Oryctolagus cuniculus: one gene and its partner. The main gene of each other region encodes a partner of the protein of the gene in region 2 in a complex. Links are inferred from orthologs where the notes say so. Each region holds a gene or a part of one and is shown on either strand. Other genes may lie near its edges. The genes, in order: NEBL and XIRP2.

Evidence for each region.
Region 1: the proteins of XIRP2 (region 2) and NEBL are in contact, whole or in part, in a crystal structure (PDB 4F14), measured with the Homo sapiens proteins. The link is inferred for Oryctolagus cuniculus from reciprocal best matches to the Homo sapiens genes XIRP2 and NEBL. Residues at the interface, in NP_689594.4 of Homo sapiens: Pro2420, Pro2421, Pro2422, Thr2423, Leu2424, Pro2425, Lys2426, Pro2427; in NP_006384.1 of Homo sapiens: Tyr963, Asp964, Tyr965, Asp969, Asp971, Glu972, Ile987, Asp988, Asp989, Gly990, Trp991, Met1004, Pro1006, Asn1008, Tyr1009.

What each region holds. Positions count from the first base shown.
Region 1 is NC_091444.1:47,142,878-47,146,702, forward strand, and holds part of NEBL (nebulette), read right to left. Parts: intron 3,235-3,825; coding exon 3,124-3,234; intron 2,963-3,123; coding exon 2,852-2,962; intron 1,447-2,851; coding exon 1,342-1,446; intron 1-1,341. UniProt on the Homo sapiens protein: Binds to actin and plays an important role in the assembly of the Z-disk. May functionally link sarcomeric actin to the desmin intermediate filaments in the heart muscle sarcomeres.
Region 2 is NC_091434.1:74,105,790-74,110,333, reverse strand, and holds the start of XIRP2 (xin actin-binding repeat-containing protein 2), read left to right. Parts: upstream 1-1,653; 5' UTR 1,654-1,982; intron 1,983-4,544.

The DNA of each region.
Region 1 (3,825 bases), on a different chromosome or scaffold from region 2:
CCCCTTGACGTGTGGGCGCCATTGTGGGTGGGAGAGTACAGTATGACAGGTGCTTTCCTCCACAAGCTAGAAATCCAGACTACTGCGGACTTGTTGGAGTCCTGGGCAAAACAGCCTCTTCCCCTGATCCAGTCAGTGAGATTTTCCCTTTCTGAGCATAGCCTGACCCTCTCCCCAGAGCCCCCGAGGCTCCTGACCAGCACACCTTGAGAGCCAGAGCTTGCCAAGTAATTAGGAATTGGAAAATATTCCAGAAGTCCTCAAACTTAATAGTTCATACATTTTGATGACACATTTGCTTAACTACTAAATAACTCAGATAATTCTCCATTACTATATTGACTGTGTAGCCAACTTTTTTATGATTTTTAGAAGAGAATTCAAGTTTACACATCCACTAATCATAGGCTCAGTCTCTTAATTAATGATGCTGATGAGATTTCTACTCTGCAAAACAAAAATACAAACTTTTAGGAATTGGCTATGAACTAGTAATCCCTAGATATACTATGCATGTAAATAAGCAATTATCGGGAAAGAAATTACTTCATATGACTACTGTCATCTTCAGAGAAAAATCTGGTAGAAGATTGGGATTTCTTTCCTGATCTCGAGTTGGGTGTTTGGCCAAGTGGCTAAGATGACCACATCTGACATGGTAGCCCCTGAGTTCAATTTCCTCCTCCAGCTCCTGACTCCAGTTTACTACTAATAGAGACCATGGGAGACAGCAGTGATAGCTCAAGTAATCGGGTTTCTGACACCCACATGGGAGACCTGGATTTCATTCCTGGCTCCCAGCTCTGGCTTTGGCTTCAGTCCAGCCCCAATCATTGTGGGTATTAGAGGAGTGAACCACTAGCTGGGAGCTAGTTCCCTCTCTTTTTCTAACTCTGTGCCTCTCAAATAAATAATGTTTTTAAAAAGATTATTTCTTGAGTTCAATTTTTAAATTCAGTATCAAAAAGAGGAAAATGTGAACTTGTAATTATAAAGCAATCATGATAAATTATAACTTATGATAATATTTCATACTTTTATTTTGAATGCAAATAATCAATTCAACAGAAAATGCAAGTAATGCAATCAACAGTGAGACAGTGACAGTAAAGGCCATTGCTAACACAACATAAAATTTCAAAGAGTAATTGAAAAGAAATATAGATCGAATAACCCTAACCAAAAAAATCTGAAATTCATAATGCTCCAAAACATGAAAATTTTTGAGCACTAACATGATGCCCAAGTGGACAATTCCACACCTACACATGGAATTCTTGGGTCACAGTCAGATGGCAGGAACACTGAAAATATTGCATACAAGTACTTCCTGAAACTCACCGCACTAATATTTTGTTGAGTGGTCTTGATTCGCTGCATTTCAGGAGTATTTGCTGCAGTGGAATAATTAGAGAGCATTTTCTCCGCTTCATCTTTATACTTTTTCTAAAAGACACAAGCAGTCAATATGAAGCTGAAGCTCTGTGTGTATGTGTTATAAAACACACATACAGACAGAGAAAGATGCCACATCCTCCAAGTCTACCAAACTGCATGGCTCTAAATCATAGCTTTAAAAATACTTATTATATATTTCAAATTTTCCAAACAAAAATTGTGAGGTAGTAATACAAAGAGTTCCCATATAACAGCCTTCACCCCATTTCCCCTATTAACATCCCCTACTAGTATCTTGGTCACACATAATAAGCCACACTCAGGTTCACCTTATTTTATTAATACAAAAACCTTTTCTCCCTCCAAGTTTCCAGTAGTCAACACTTTGTGTTCAGACTGAGGTGTTTTTTGTTTTTTTAAATTTTAGCTCCCACATATAAGGGAGAACATGCAGTGTTTGTCTTTCTGTGTCTGGCTTATTTCACACAATATGATGTCCTCCAGTTCCATCCATTTTGCTGCAAATGACAGGATTCCATACTTATTTATGTAGCTGAACAACATCCCATAGTATATATATTTTTTCTTTATCCATTCACCTGATGATGGACACCTTGGTTGAGTCCATATTTTCACTGTTGTGAAGACTGCTGCTATAAACATGGTGGCACATGTGTCTCTTTGATACAAGGAGTTCCTGCCTTTTTGGTGTATTCCCAGTAGTGGGATTGCTGGATCACATAGCTCTTCCATTTCTAGTTTTTTTTTTTTTTTCATTCTTATTTTATTCCATTACTATTTTGTTCTGTTGGGATTCATTATTTCCCATGTATATTTTCCCATGTGTAAATTTACAGCAAGGATATTATCCACTAATGAATATCTTTGTCCAAGTTAGATTTTATAAATAACTTCTTCCTCCATATTTTCTTTTGTGACGACTATTTCTCTCATATGCAGTTTTTGTAGAGGGTATGTGACAAGTATACTTTACATTTTAAGAAAACATAGCTCTGCCCTTATTTTTAATTAAGATTAATTCTCATCTGATATGCAGGACAGTGTTGGCCACTATTGTTTCATGTAGAGAGAATTTTAATAATCATAAATCTTATGAAATAAAAAGTTAAAAGTCAAATCTTTGGAATAAATTTTTTCTGGAGTATCAGCAAGAGAAATTCAAGCCAAGTGTGCAATCTGTGGTCAAAATGTCCACGATTCAAAACAAGGGGTACCACAAACAGGAGGGACTCTGGCATTTCATAACACCCACTGAATTGAATCTACAACCACATTCCTTTTAGTTAGTAAGGTTAATCAAATTTGGCCCCCAGTTTGTTAACAACAGAGTGAACTAACTTTAAATGCCAACACCATCAAAAATATACAAATCATAGAAACACACCAAACGTGATGAGGGGACATTTGAATTGATCATCTTCACTCTACCAACCTGGCTATAGATTTCAGATGCCCTCTTGGCTCGAAGCATATCTGGGATGTCCATGCTCACTTGCATGCCTTTCCCCTTAATTTCATTTTCTAAGTCCTTCTTATATTGTTTCTAAAAAAGAGAAAATGATCTCAGAGCTCTGCTTAACTTTGATAGCAATTAAGACATTATGTGTCTGAATATGGATGCCAGCCATGTGAATAGTAACATTGATTCTTTCTAGACACAACCCAGTGTATCATTGTAAACTCTGTATCCCACTACCCCCTTACCTGGCTGGCCATCTGCGATGCTCTCTTAGCCCGCTGCACGTCAAGAGTGTCCGTGCTGACCTGCATTCCTTTCCCTTTGATCTCAGTCTCCAGGTCTCGTTTATAGTCTTTCTACAGAAAATGAAACACAGAGTGAGAGCTCTAAAACCATTAGGAAAACTGCACTGAAACTCTGTGACATGATGTTGCTATCAGGGCCATGTAATTTGCCATTAAGTTGTGCTTTTATTTCTTTAGCACAAGAAGGAAATTTTACTTGGGAAAGGAACATGACTTGGAATGATTTATTCACAAGTCAATGGGAGGTGTTTTTCTACTAATATGAATTAAGAACGGAAACAGCCAGTTGGTAGAAAATTTTGTATTTCCATTTGGTAAACTTGATAAAACTATTGGTTATTAACTAACTCAGTTGAAAATATCAACAAAATATATCTGTAAAAGTGCTGTTTTTTGCTCAAAATATATTTTTAAAGGTTTATTTATTTATTTAAAAGTCAGAGTTACACACACAGAGAAGGAGAGGCAGAGAGAGAGGGAGAGGAAGGGAGAGGGAGGGAGAGGGAGAGAAAGGGAGAGAAAGGGAGAGAGATGGAGAGAGAGAGAGAGAGAGAGAGAGAAAGAGATCTTCCATCCACTGGTTCACTCCCCACAAGGCCACAAAGGCTGGAGCTGCACCAATCCGAAGCCAGGAGCCAGGAG
Region 2 (4,544 bases):
TAAAGTAGATGTCAGATACTTGAGTAGTTAGCAATATCTCAAAAAGAGTAAAATTTCCATGATTATCATTAACAAGTATATGCAAATACAAGAATGAAGTTGATTGCCATTTGAAGGGTAAGTCTCCTCATAAATTAAATTGAATTATTGATATTTTAGATCTAGTACAATTGTCTCATGTACAAGGCAAGGTAAAATAATATTGTACTAAGTATATTAGGCTCATGTAATAATGTAATGATTATTTTAGATATATATAAAATCCAATTTAATCTTGAGAACAATTTAAAATTGGCAAACTCCATCCTACTTCATCACCGATGAAGACAGCTAAGCTTAGATAACATTTGAAACTTGCCGAAGTTATGGAACACAGCTAGTGGTGAAGCTGTGCTGAAATACTGTCTCCATTATCTGTTAGAAGCTTCTGAAATGATTTCAATGTTCTATATTTGTATTGTCTACTACATAGCCAGTACCCAGTTTCTACAGATTGAGTACTTAAAATGTGAGGAATACAACTGAGGGACTGAATTTTTTATTTAATTTTAATCAATTAAAAATTAAATGGTCCCATATGCCTATTAGCTACTCTCCTGGTATGCACAATTATAAATAATTAGACTCTACCAGCACCTGTCCCAGGAAAATTTTATGGAGTATACAAAAAAAATTCTCAGAAGTTTTTTCTTATAATTAATAAATTGGCATATTACTCCTCAACCTATGATTAAAGAGAAACTAAAATTGTGTATGAAAAAAATGTAATGTATAAGCTGATTTTTGTTCAAAATAATATGATAGCTAGTTTACTGGTAAACATGTTGCAAATGAAGTGGAGCATATATAATTCCAGCGCTTTCTCAAAGTGGAAGGGCAGTTCCCTCTTTATTTGGGTTTACTGGTAGACCTGTTGGATACACACTGAACACCATATTAGAAAATAATAGGAGCCTAAAAAGATAGGGGAAGCTGACTGTAGTTTATATTTACTTAGAATATATTAGTTGTTGGCATTATGGAGCTCATGCAACAGTTCCCCTATTTTCTTCTTGGTTAGGTTGACAGGGTGTGCTGAGTCAGTAAGGTAGCTGCAAAGGACATTTAATATGATTTGCTCAGGAGCATGTGAGGTGACTTCTCTTCCGTGTCTGCTCTTCTTCATGCCAAATGATTTTCAACTAACATAAACAGACAGGAATTCCACAGTAAGTGTTCCCTTAATTCTTTCTAGAATGCTGTCTCACCCCTCTTCCTTTTTTTTTTTTTTTTTTTTTTTTTTTACCAAAAGAAAACTTACTTCATAAACACTGGAGTAGTGTTTTGCTCTATATGTGACACCTCAAGGGAAAAAAAAAAAAAAAACACAACTAGTGTTTAGCTAAGAACATTTTGTGCAATAAAAACATTTCCACTTCCTCAGAATGCATATGAACAAGTCCACCAAAATAAATTAGAACATTTCCTAACTGCACTATTTTCATATTCCTAGTTCTTAAAATATTGAAATTATTTCTTTTAATACAAGTCATCCAAAGACTTTCCTCCCCCCTTTACGCTGGTTACTTTCCAGACTTCGTTGAGAATTTCTGAGTTGGCCTCTATCCATGGCTACAGGAGGAAGTTTGATGGACTGCACATGTGTTAGAGCCGTGCATACATTAGTGAGGTCACTGTGAGGCAGCCTGCTCTACGAGGCACAGTTCTGGAAAGAGTGGTTGACTCAGGCCCCACCTATACAGAGCTCAGTTCCTAAAAATAGGGACACGTTGCATCCTTTAGTTGCATGGCTAAAATAAATTCAGCCGTCCCTTCTAGTTGCTTGATAGACCCTTCAGTGGAGCTGGCCTCCACTCCACCGATTCCTTTCAGGGGACTGGGAAATTGCTGTACACGAAACAAGGGAGGAAAGTATTGAGTGAAGACTATAAAGACATAGGAGATATCAGCGAACTTTCGGTTGAGTCTAAACATTACGGAAGGTACGTGTAAAATAGTCATTGATACACATCTTCTTCCAGGTTTGTAAATGCTCTGTCTAGGTACTGAAGATCAATGAAGACCATATAGGTCAAATTATAATCACTGTAAATGAAAATATTCACCTGGATTTGGTTTTATGATAATACTTAGCACTGCCTTATGTTCCGAAATTGATGGCTTCATACATAAGACTCTTTGCAAATTAGCATTTTTTGTATTTAATATTGAATGATAATGAGCCAAAATTGATAAACTCATATGGGTTAAAAATACAGCACAACGTTTAGCAAAAACTTTAGTTTGTCCTTTATGAGCATAAATTGAATGAATATATTAAACTATTTCTTGGACTTTGGTGAGGGAACGGAAGAGATTAAATATTTTCAACTGTTGCAGCTTGCTCAGAGAAATGTATGAAAATTATTCTTTCCGAGCCATGTTTGATTTTTAAGTCCTTGCTCCAGCCATACTCTTATGTCCACTGAGAGTATTACTGGAGTAAGGATTAAAGAATCAGGTTCTTACATGTTTTGCAGAATTAACAAAAGCATTGCCAGTTGGATCTGCCAGCCCTAATTATAGTAGCTACAAACTTAAACAGAGAAGACTGAGATTGTACTTTAAAAGTATCATGCCCTGTGTTGTTTCAAATGGATTTTTTCTGTTTTCAATTGCCTGTGATTTACCTTAATTTGGTCCTGTTGTACTTTAAGTGTTTAGGTGTTAAAGAGTGAAGTGATTTGGGAGAGACATTCTAAGGGAACTTCTTAAGACACCAACTAAAAGCAAGGACACTTTAAGATTGCATAATACAGAGTTTAAATTTAGCCAGCTGGTGCTGAAATGAAAGATATTTTATTTTTACCATAGCTCTATTTGGTCACTGACGAGCTGTAGGTTGTTTGAATTATTTTAAAATTTTATGTGCAAGGTGCCAAAGGGGACGTAAAATATTTACTTCAACTACATTCAAGACCATGAATTTTAACATGGCAGACCTCCCATTTTGAGTTTTAGAAGATATTATTATTGAGTGGCGAAAATATTGGATCAGAAATCAGAAAATCCTGAATTCCATGCTCTAATATTTCCCTGCTCCTATGCCTAATATTGTAATATTTTTCCTTCTTGCTGTCAACATGTAAACTACCAACTAGACCCATTTTTAAAAGCCAGCCAGCATTTCGGATGTCTGCAATATGGCAAAGTGCCAGCTGTTTGGGGAAAATGTAGTCCACGGTTTGCACTGAATGCTTCTGCTTTCATCTGGTGTGGGCATCTTTAAGAAACAGCTTCTCCCAAACACCTGCAAAATAGAAGCAGACATTCTTTCATGATCACAGAGGGCTTTGCTGCAGAAAACACTCGTGTACACATGTCAGCCCACGCCTGGTGTCTTCTGTGATTACAGAGGACAGGAGAATGTCGCCTTTCCTCAGGTTTACTTTTGGGTAGGAAGCCCGCTGAGGTCACGGATAATTTACCATTGTTTACAGTTGATAAATGCCTGTTATTCTATCAGTTCCAGCATTCTGCCTCTCACATCACAGCCACTACATTTGAAAACCTCTGTGCACAGCATTCTCTTTACTTTCTTGGTAAAATTGTACTTATGATGAGATAATTTGGGGTTGCACTCTTTTTATAACTTCAATACTTGGAACTGATTTATTCTCCCTCTCCATTCCCCCATCTTCCCTCTCCTCTCCCCTCCTTCTCCCTTCTCCCTCCCCTCCCTCTCCCCCCTCCTTCTTCCCCAATCAATCCTTCAACTCTGGGTATTAAGAGAAACTATTTTGGAAGGTCTGTTTGATAACCAGGACTCATGTCTAGGTTTGGTAATTTATAGAGCAGGAGTTTACACTTAATAAGTGTCTGGCTATGTAATTCTGAGAGTGTTGATTGAATAGTTGTAGGGGGACAGAACTTAATTGACATTATTTGTCCTTTTTATTTGCTTCCCATCTCCTCTTTGGGAATCATTAAAGTTACACTTTGAAATTTAATTAAATTGTAATTTGTTTTTTCCTACTTCTGAAACAAACACTTGCTCATTCAAATCACAAATTCATCCCTATCCCTTGTAGAGTGGTGAGTAATTTCAGACTTTTTCAAATTCTTTATAAAGGTTTTTTTTTTTAATTTTTAGTTTTTAGCAGTTTCAGTATAGTTCATAGAGACAATAACACTGATTTATGCCATGAAAGTGTATCATCTTTTTAGAACTGTGTAGTATGTTGTATTGTCTGTTTCCTGACACTAAATATATCTTTTTCCCACACTGCCAATTCTCCAATACCAACTGGAGATCTTACAATTCAATTTTGCACTAAACAAAGACCCTAATTCTTGGACTTAACAAAAATCCCACAGATTAAGGGCTCAGTCCCACAGGACTGTCCCCACTTCAGATATCAACTGAAACTGGAACACTCAGGTTACCACTCTCTTCCAGCTCTCTACTGCTTCAGAGGTTCCCACAAACCTCTCCCCAGGCCCAGGAGTTCGCTAGAGAGGTTCACAGAACACAGGAAAGTATTGTGCTTACTGTCACTAGTACA